Linked DNA regions of Drosophila melanogaster. The protein of the gene in region 1 interacts with the protein of each later gene in a pairwise test. Each region holds a gene or a part of one and is shown in the gene's direction. Other genes may lie near its edges.

What was found. The genes of interacting proteins can lie anywhere in the genome.
Region 2: the proteins of CG3557 (region 1) and CG13186 interact in a two-hybrid assay, tested with the Drosophila melanogaster proteins (one large-scale study listed by BioGRID).
Region 3: the proteins of CG3557 (region 1) and Cpr35B interact in a two-hybrid assay, tested with the Drosophila melanogaster proteins (one large-scale study listed by BioGRID).

The regions. Positions count from the first base shown.
Region 1 is NT_033779.5:2,384,188-2,387,585, reverse strand, and holds CG3557 (uncharacterized protein), read left to right. Parts: upstream 1-1,793; 5' UTR 1,794-1,883; coding exon 1,884-2,079; intron 2,080-2,134; coding exon 2,135-2,754; 3' UTR 2,755-2,825; downstream 2,826-3,398. Other genes in the region: PIG-Wa (phosphatidylinositol glycan anchor biosynthesis class W a), read right to left, coding at 2,855-3,398.
Region 2 is NT_033778.4:12,079,541-12,082,575, forward strand, and holds CG13186 (uncharacterized protein), read left to right. Parts: upstream 1-1,735; 5' UTR 1,736-1,777; coding exon 1,778-2,209; 3' UTR 2,210-2,517; downstream 2,518-3,035.
Region 3 is NT_033779.5:14,423,797-14,426,801, reverse strand, and holds Cpr35B (cuticular protein 35B), read left to right. Parts: upstream 1-1,612; 5' UTR 1,613-1,670; coding exon 1,671-1,682; intron 1,683-1,744; coding exon 1,745-2,389; 3' UTR 2,390-2,487; downstream 2,488-3,005.

The DNA.
Region 1 (3,398 bases):
ACACTTTTTTTGGCTTCGCATTGATTGCTCCACAATTGCGCAATTTCGCTCACTAAAAGCATTTCAAAGGACCTGTGGAATGGGGCTTCCTCTGCCTGCTGCCATGACGCATAAGCTCCGATAAAAACTGTTGTTCGATAAGCATTTTGTTTGCCATGTGCCTGAAGTTGTTAGGGCGTCTGTGCCCCAGCCCAAGTCACGAACTTCTGTGGTAACGCAGTGGGCTGCTGTGAAGGATTGAAGGCGGAGAAACGCTCGAGGAAGCCATAACGAATCAGTTTTTGATGTGGAACTTTGAAAAGTTCTATGGAAATTGTAAGAAAATTCAGAATGCATGGAAGGAGGCGATTCAATCGCAAGCAACTATATATTGCTTAATGCTAGGGAAACTGAATTAAAACTGAATTTAAGTCCTTTAAACAGAACCATGTAGGTGTCCTGCCACAGAGGAGCTATAGTTCAGACATATATTGCACATTCTCCGCACATTTGCCGCTTGGCAAAAGGTCCTGCAGCTTAGTCACCACACTGCCACACACATGGACACACACACCCACATGTACACATGATATTCATTATGAACGGCTTAAGCGATTTCCCCAGGGCCCAGGAGCTTAGTCCTTCACGCAGCAGACACACTCATGCATATGCACAGATATATTTGGGTTTTTATTTATTTCTTTTTATGAAAGCCCCGCTGAATGGAATCCGATTTGACGAGCAGTCGAAAAAAGGAACTCGTCAGCAAATTGGCAGCTCGAAAAAAGATGCGGTAAGCAGAAAAACCAATTCTCTACCTGATTGTTGGCCACATCAATCAGGATGTCATGTTCTACATGCTGGGGAAAAACATGAACATAATAATTAACGCTCATAATTCGACTCTCCCCAAAAGTGGACAACAATTCGCTTCTTTTGCTAATGAAAATAATCTGTCATCAAAGCCAAAAAGCCACCCCCTATGGTAACAGGTGCTCGTGCTTCCCGCTCTCCTGTTTTGCCTCATCCTGTTGCTTTTTCCAGGACACGCCTCCTGGTACACTATATGATTATATTTGGTTCCCAGCTATTAACTCTGCATAGCTTGTGGGCAGGAAGGGTTGAAAGGTTGGCGGACGGAAATTGCATTTGTGCTGGCCCAAATCAGATAAGATTCACCGGCGACGCCCTCGTCCTTGGCCAGGATATGACATTAAAAGCGCATCAAAGTCGAATGGCGAGCAGAGGCTACGCATCAGCAGCGGAAACTGTTGCCGTAATTACATTCGAGTCGGATAGAAAAAATTCCAAAGACGTATGTTCGGCAATGCGAACGCCTGATACCCTTTTCAGTGAGGAATTTTTGAGGAATCTTATCATTAGTAATCTTGATCTTAATTAATCTTCATCAAGGTATCTAAGTCACGAAATGAAAATGTTAACTTAAAACTCTAAGGTTTGTAGATAGGTTTTCGTATAGTTAAACCTCCTTTCGATGTCCTTTCCTTTGACAATAAGAAGCACATTGCTGGTCATTTGCGCGGTCCTTTAACCCTGGTCGCTTGTGAGCTTAGCTTCCCCCGGAGGCTGAACTTTGATTTGGTCTTTGTTTGCGCCGTTAAATTAAATGTCCTTGCCCAGCCGTTCGGGATCTGTGCTCATCCTGGATGCCCAGGGACAATGCAAGCAATTCCAGTCATTTCCTTAATAGAAATCTTATCTTTTGTGACGCCTTCGCCGTGTGCCTAAGCCGGATATCGCACCTTTGACATCTGCCCATGGCTCCTGACAAAGCAGGTCCATGCTAAGCACTCAAATATCTCTTACTTCCGGTCCGGCTTTTTGGGAGAATATCATTTGGAAAAATTGGGTGTTTATTTATACCAACACTAGCAGACGAAACCATGAAATCCTGTTGTGCCACTCAGACGACGCGTTGTGAGTGTCCAACGGGTCTCAGATTGGGGAAGAAGCCGCAGGCTCCACTCTTCGACATGCTGGGCCCGCATCCAGATGAGGTCATCATGACGATCCTGGACCGCATCCTCTATCTTTCGGGCGCCACGAAAATAATTCCATTGCTGGAGTTGTCGAATGAAGGTCAGTAATCGAAGGAAGTAATATAAATGCGTCCATAGATAAAATATACCCGTAGGATCAGCTTTTAAGAAGGAATCCTGCCCACCACCAGCACCCTGTGCACCAAGCCCTTGCAGTTCCGGAAGCAGCTCGGCTTATCCATCTTCATCGGCCTGGAGTACATGCTGCTCCAAGCCGTCGACTATCTGTTGTTATCCCAAGCCAACGAGATGCTGCGCCAGTCCAAAAGCTCCACTAGTGCCCTGCAGTCCAATGGATACTCCGAAATCTTCCTGCTTCAAGACCGCGAGTCGGCTTAGTTCCGCTGCCTGTTGTCCCCGCCAGCGTACTCCCAGGGTGGACTTCGATCACCCGGCGGAGGATATTCCGTTGAGAAATAAGGCGGGCAGCGCCACGATAAGGGAACAGATAAGCCGATCAATTTCCACCTGCTCGGTGGCCTGTCAACAGCTGAAAGACAAGCTTACATCCCAGATTGCCCAAGGACACAAGGACCAAAAGTGGTTGTGGACCCGTTTGATTCGTGGCAACGATGGGTGCATGGTGTACGAGGTGTACAAGGATTCCGATGTAGACAACTCTCCCTCTAAGATCGGGTCGGAGGCACCCATCATCCTTTTTCTAGTCATGCCGAATGGTTGCATCATGCCCTTTGAGTCTATTTGTGGTCCTTAGGAAGATGGTACTCGTTTTGTATACTTTTTAGCCTGTGGTCAGTTAAAAATAAACTTTCACCCGTACTTTGTATTTTGCTATTTAATTTATACAACAAATACTAAGCTACACGTATGCCTTTTTTTAGCATAAGGAAGACCACTCCAGCACAAACAAACATATAGATGGACAGTATAACAACAGACTCCAGATCACTTCGATGACCCGGGTTCAGGGACATGTTGACCATTCCCGTAAGGAAATTGGAGATCATGAAGTGAGTCAGACCGTTCATGTTCAGACTTTCAACAAAGGTGGGCAAGGATATGTTCTTTTGCCCGTCATCTCTAATTGACTTTTTAGAACAAATATCTGGCCGTACGAGTTTCAGCTCAAAGAAGAACGCGTAGATCACAATTAGGCTTAGGGAGACAGCGAAAATCCAGATTACATAGCCAAAACTAAAAGTTACACGTGCTATGCCCGTTAGAAAAGAACTTATAAAAACCAATTTCCAACAGAGAATGGCCACGAAAAGAATACTCTTTAACTTTCTTATTAGTCCTTGATAAGTCAGGCTATCACGGGAAGTATACCACTTGGCAAAGTAAATGCTGAGCAAATAGAGAGCCACACATCCGTGTAGGGAACTTAAGCCTTCCCGA
Region 2 (3,035 bases), on another chromosome or scaffold:
CGGTACGATCGAGTGGCGCTGCCTGCAGCTGCCGAAAATTTTCGCTCGCCGATCGACGATCTCTGCCGCTGCCGCTGGCGACGTCGACGTCGACGTTCAAGTTCTGTTGTATTTCAAAATGATGCAAGCAGCAAATTGTCGTTTTGATTTTTTAAAAATATATCTGAAGTATGTGCAGACATGCGTATGTGGGATACATATACACACGCTGGCACGCCTATTCAGAATAATAAATATATTTAAATATTTGTTGCTCTTGGCGCTGCCCCACTGAAGCCGCAGCATCGATGATTATTTTTCCACAGCGGAAAAACAGCAGAAAAAAAACTCCGAGTGTGCAGATACATTTGTTGAAATATTCTTTTTGGCTCATTTGAATATTGCTTCAAAATGACCCTAGTTTTGAATACACAGTTTATGCGCATAATTAGTATGTGTGCAAACGCCAAAAGTTGCATTCTTAACCCCACAACGAATAGATTTCTGTTGTATGTTTCACTGTGACGTCATTGTCACTGTTGTTTACAATTGCGTTGTTGTTAATTTGCAAATTGCATTTTCATATACATTTTTGGTTTTTTATTTTTTTAAATTCCCAGCTCTTTGCTGCATTTTGTATGCTTTCATTTCGGTTTTATTTGTGGGCCGATGTTGGGAAAATTGGAAAATTGCATAAATAAACCATGACCCTCTGGGTCAGAGGGGGTTGGGGGGGATCAGGAAAATGCGGGCCACGTGTGGGCAGCTGAAGGTAAAAAATCATTCAGCTTCAGCCACGAGAAATGGAGAAATAAAATGCAATAAATGACCATTTGCAATCTCGCAATCCCGCAACCAATAAAATCAAGCAAATAAAAGAGTGTTGCAATCATGTTTACGCTCCAAAATAAGAATTTAAATGATTCCAATTAAAAATGCACAAATTATATAAGAAGACTATGTTTGCTCTTAAAATCAGTTCAATTAGATGTCCTTCAAACACTATTAAGAGACTTGAAAATAATAGGGTTTGCGATTTCATTCTTCATTTTTTTATGAAAACAATCCATTGATTTGGTATTGGTATCTTCTTCCAGCTTATGATAAATATCAGCGTATTTTGTGATAAACCTACATTCAATGGAATCCGTAAAGAATATCTGATAGTCGTCGAAATGCTCTCATCGTATAATTTACTTGCTTTAAATACTCGATTTTTATGTTTTCTCCCATTGTTTATGCATGTTTTTGTGTCCAACAATATATTATTGTTATGCATAGAATTTGTTGAGTAGCTTTTCTGCATGAATATAGACAGTGCCATAAATTGACGTCTATATTGGAGCTTTGCATATATACAAAACAAAAATCTATATATAATGAACAAAATTGTGGCTACCCAGCCAATGGAAGCATTTTCCCCTGCATCTATACAATATCGTTTTTTGTAATTTTTTCAAAGGCGGCTGCGTTGTCAGTCAATGTAGCCAAATTAACAAACGAACAGCGATTCTTTTCGTATGCGTGCCACCAAAAGTTGTTGACTCTTTCGGATTGTCATGCATTTTAAAAATAGGCGCAGCAAAAATATTCTGGACATCGTTGCGCACTTTGAAATGTACGAAAGAAGATTTATGGTTCACAGTACTTTTGTACCAGAGAATCATAAGTGAACCAAAAAGCAATCAATCAAAGCAATTATGAATTCTAGGATTGTCAACATTCGAAATAAAAATGGGTTTTGGTTATTAACAAAATCACTTCGAAATTGTGAAAGTAATCTAAAAAAAAAACCACAATGCCACCAAAGAAGCCGGCAAAAAAGAAAAAGGACGTGGACTGGTCCTCCGATGAGCATTTCTCCAAGGATCGTTCCATGATCTACATCGAGCACACGTACGAGTGTCCCATTTTCCAGACCAAGGCCGACGAGTGCGGAACATTCTTCACGCAACGGATACCGGAGCGCAAGTTCCAGCTGGTGAAGAATCGAAACGGACGCCAGGTTCCGCGGGAAGGAGCCTTCGAGATAGGGTTCTCGCAAAATGCACGCACCTCGGAGCATCTGCTGTGGTCCGGCTTGGAGAAGGGACCGCCGCGTCGGGATAAGTTCCCACTGGACTACGAGGCACTGGTGCCCGATGTGAACAGGATACTCAAGAAATTCTATCCCGACAAGGCGGTGGGCGTGGACGCTGACGACGGGGATGAGGAGAAAGAGGACATGTAAACATTTGCCGCACTTTGTTGTCTGAATTATTATAAAGTCTTTACCATAACAATGGCTAATACATGGCGTGAAAAGTAAACAATCAGCCAGAGACCTGTTGGAGCAACTTTAAGACGTCATCCACCCACGCGGACAAAATGCTCGGCGATTAGTGCGATTCTTCTTTGGCTTTTGTGTGTGTAATATTGCTGGTATTGTTGACTGACGTACTGACATCACACTTTGACAGCTCCTTTCAAAAGTTAAATGCTTAAATCGACCAGAATAATTAACCCAATACAATGCTGCCACATTAGCAGCCACACGATATATATGTGTATATATATATTATTATTACTGCACGGGGACATTAGCGACGCGTCCTATTGTCTGGCTGAGAAATCAGGGCAACTAAATCGGGACATGTGGTGTGTAGTTGGTAGTGGGTGCTACTATCTCGTTCACTTGGTGTTGACACAACAAATACCCCGAAATACATTTTCAATGTACACAATAGAGGACGAGTAATCCAAACAATTTAAATTGAAAGCTGAATTTGAAACAATAGACAAAGGGCACTCACATGCTAGCCGGCTTTTAAATGCTCTTAAAACTATAAAGTGAAAACTATACGAGCAAATCAATTTCCTATAAGCTTTTAGCTTGCATTTGCATACAATAAATGTGCAATCTATATGTTGCCTTCAAATCAGCATGACGCCCTAGTTGCTTTACATAAATAAAGTGCAAGAAATGGTATTTTCATTTGCTGTTCGCCTTTGGATTTTAATCCAAACCCTAGTCCTAGAGTAACATTTCCAAAAAGAGCAGCAGAAAACACATCCAC
Region 3 (3,005 bases), about 12 Mb from region 1:
TCGGTTTTCCCCATCGCCTCCTATTTTTTTTTGTTGTTGCTGTCCTGTATTTACCCTTTTACCCAGCCTTTTGGGCCCGGCAATCAAGCGTACTTGTTGTACGACTCCAGCAACTGGCCAACCGGCCAAAACGACCGACCAACCGACCAACAACTTTAGCGGCCATGACACAAAGATTGACAGCATGTCGTCGCTGTTTGGAAGCCTGATTGACATGAGTAATCAAGCAGCCGAAATGTGCCCACAAAACGCAGCCAGCAATGACACTGACAACGAAACCAGCCAACCAAACCACGCAGCCTTTCGTTTGCCCCTTTGACTGACAACGATGAGTCGACAGCGACGGCAACTGGCAACTTGCAACTTGCGACTCTCAACTTGCGGCAGCAACATTGCGGCTCTGTGCCACGTTCAGACCACTGCCATAAGGGCAATTTCGATGATGAAAGAAGGGGGCTTTCACTGCTCCCAGATCTCGACTTTTGGATGCATAAGCCCAGTTACCATAATCAGTATCAATTAAACCACAACTGTTGCATAAAGTTATCTAAACACAGCAGAAGGAGCATAATTTAAGGCATTGAGGGTACATAGAGGGTACCAAAAGTAAAAATAGTAATAAATACTAATAAATACTTAGCATCATATAACTGATGGTCCTTGAATCTGTTAGCCATGTTCTTCTATCCCTTCTTTCTGAACATTCTCATCCAATTATTACATTCCCAGCTAATTCACGCATCAAATGCAAATTGCATTCAAGTATGTTCCATCCAGCCACGTAGCTCTTCTTGCCAGACTTGAGCACTTTCAAAAATCCGTATCCTTTGCGGATTACAAAACAGAACCAATATCCCCATTGTCAACTCGAATGTGGCCTTTGATGAAGGCGACACGACATTGACAGACGGTAGCCGATTGACTGCTGACAGGCGGACTGGCGGGACAACAGTCCACCGAAAGTTGGGATCCCGATCGGGATCGGGAAACGGGACTGGGATTGGGATGGGATGGGATTGGAATTGGGATTGAGGAGAGCAGACAAGCCTTTCCGATCTGGCCAAAATGAAGAAGCCGCTGCCGAGGGAGAACTGCAAACTGCAATTCTGATGACTTTTTGTCAGGCCTGATTGACGTCAACGACTCGAAGACGTTTGTCAGGCATATAAATCTTTTGGCTCGTTTGTTTCTTGGCTATGCCCACATATACCAATCCCAATCCAAATCCGACTCCAAGCCGGGGGATTATAATGGCCGACAACGACAGCGATGCGATGCATAAACAATGCCACTTTAAATTGGCAATTGTTGCGACAGTAAATTTTACAATGAATTACTACACTGCCATTCTTTTCTTTCCTCATTTTTATGTTTATTTATTTTTTTTTTTTACGGATTTTCGAAACAACAGCTAAATAAAAGGGTCGAACTGGCAGTCGAATATAATTGCACGTCTCTGGGGCGAAAGTACGACCTGATCTTGAACTGCAAATTGGGGCGTAACTAAAGACCGATTTACCAATTCTTTTTTGAAAGTTTAACCTATGGGTTCGATTTATTCCAACTATAAAAAGGCCGGGTTAAAGGTGTTTTAGGTACAGTTCACTTTGGTCTGGAGATCAGACAACAGTAGTCTAGCTAAGATTAACTCATAAACTAGCTGCGGTACCATGGCTCAAAAGGTGAGTTCAGCAAAAAAGGATAACAACTAAAGCAAATTATTATTCACCTCGATTTTCCTTAGTTTTTCATCGCCTTTGCCCTCTTGGCCATTGCGGCTATTCGGGCAGCTCCTTTCCATGGCCACGAACACCACGGTCATCACGGTGGAGCCACCAGTCATGCCTCCGTGCATCTAACATCGCACGACGATCATCACGAGGAACATCACGGTCATCATCACGACCATCACGGGCATGATGATCACCATGACTCCCATGCTGAGTATGACTTCCAGTACGGCGTCAAGGATCAAAAGACTGGGGATGTGAAGTCACAGAGTGAGTCACGACATGGCCACACGGTTACCGGACACTATGAGTTGATCGATGCCGATGGCCACAAGCGAACTGTCCACTACACGGCGGACAAGCACAAGGGATTCGAGGCTCATGTCCATCGCGAGAAGCTCCACGATCACCACCAGGCGGAGCACCATGGCCATGGACACAGCGGCTACGAGGGCGGACACGTTGAGTTCGAGGAGCACTCCTCGCAATCCGGACACGACTATGGCCACGGACACGAGGAGCACGGTCACGGTCATGGTCATGGACATGGTCACGGAAGCAGCTCCCACAGCTATTCGCTGAAACAGGAACACGGACATGGGCACGGCCACAGCCACGGTCAGGATCATGGTTTCGAGCACGGACACGGTTACCATTGAGTTGACCCCTAAGCTATACAATTGTTTATCAATCGTTTATTGAACTCTTACCAAATACCTATTGTTGTTATACCAAAATAAATCAGGCAAATATTTTCAAAATTGAAATAATTATTTGATTTGAAATGGACAAGAAGTGTAACTAAAGTTTCCCTAAAACCTATTAAAATCGAATTATAAAGTTTCTATACTTACCAACGAACTATTAACTTAAAAAAGAAACAAATCACAGTAGATAGCTCTTTTCGATACATTTGGAATATTTAAACATTTCAAATTATTAGTGAAATTTTAGCATATTTAGCATATGGTGATTTATGAATTGAATAGGCAGGCATTCGCGACTCAACACCAAGACGAGAATCGCATAGACCGTAATTTGGGTCAGAATCAGTAATGTGCGACACGACAGGCGAGATATATCACAAATTCGATTATTATAAATCATATTTGTACAGTTTATCCATAAATTAGCCCGCATATCTATCTATTCGCTGGCTATTTCAGGTGGCTGAAACTTGTATTTTTTATGCAAGCATACACACATATTGTATATATGCGTGCACATGGCGATTTTTTATGGGCGATTTCTTTTCACTTCTAGTGGTGGCAATCG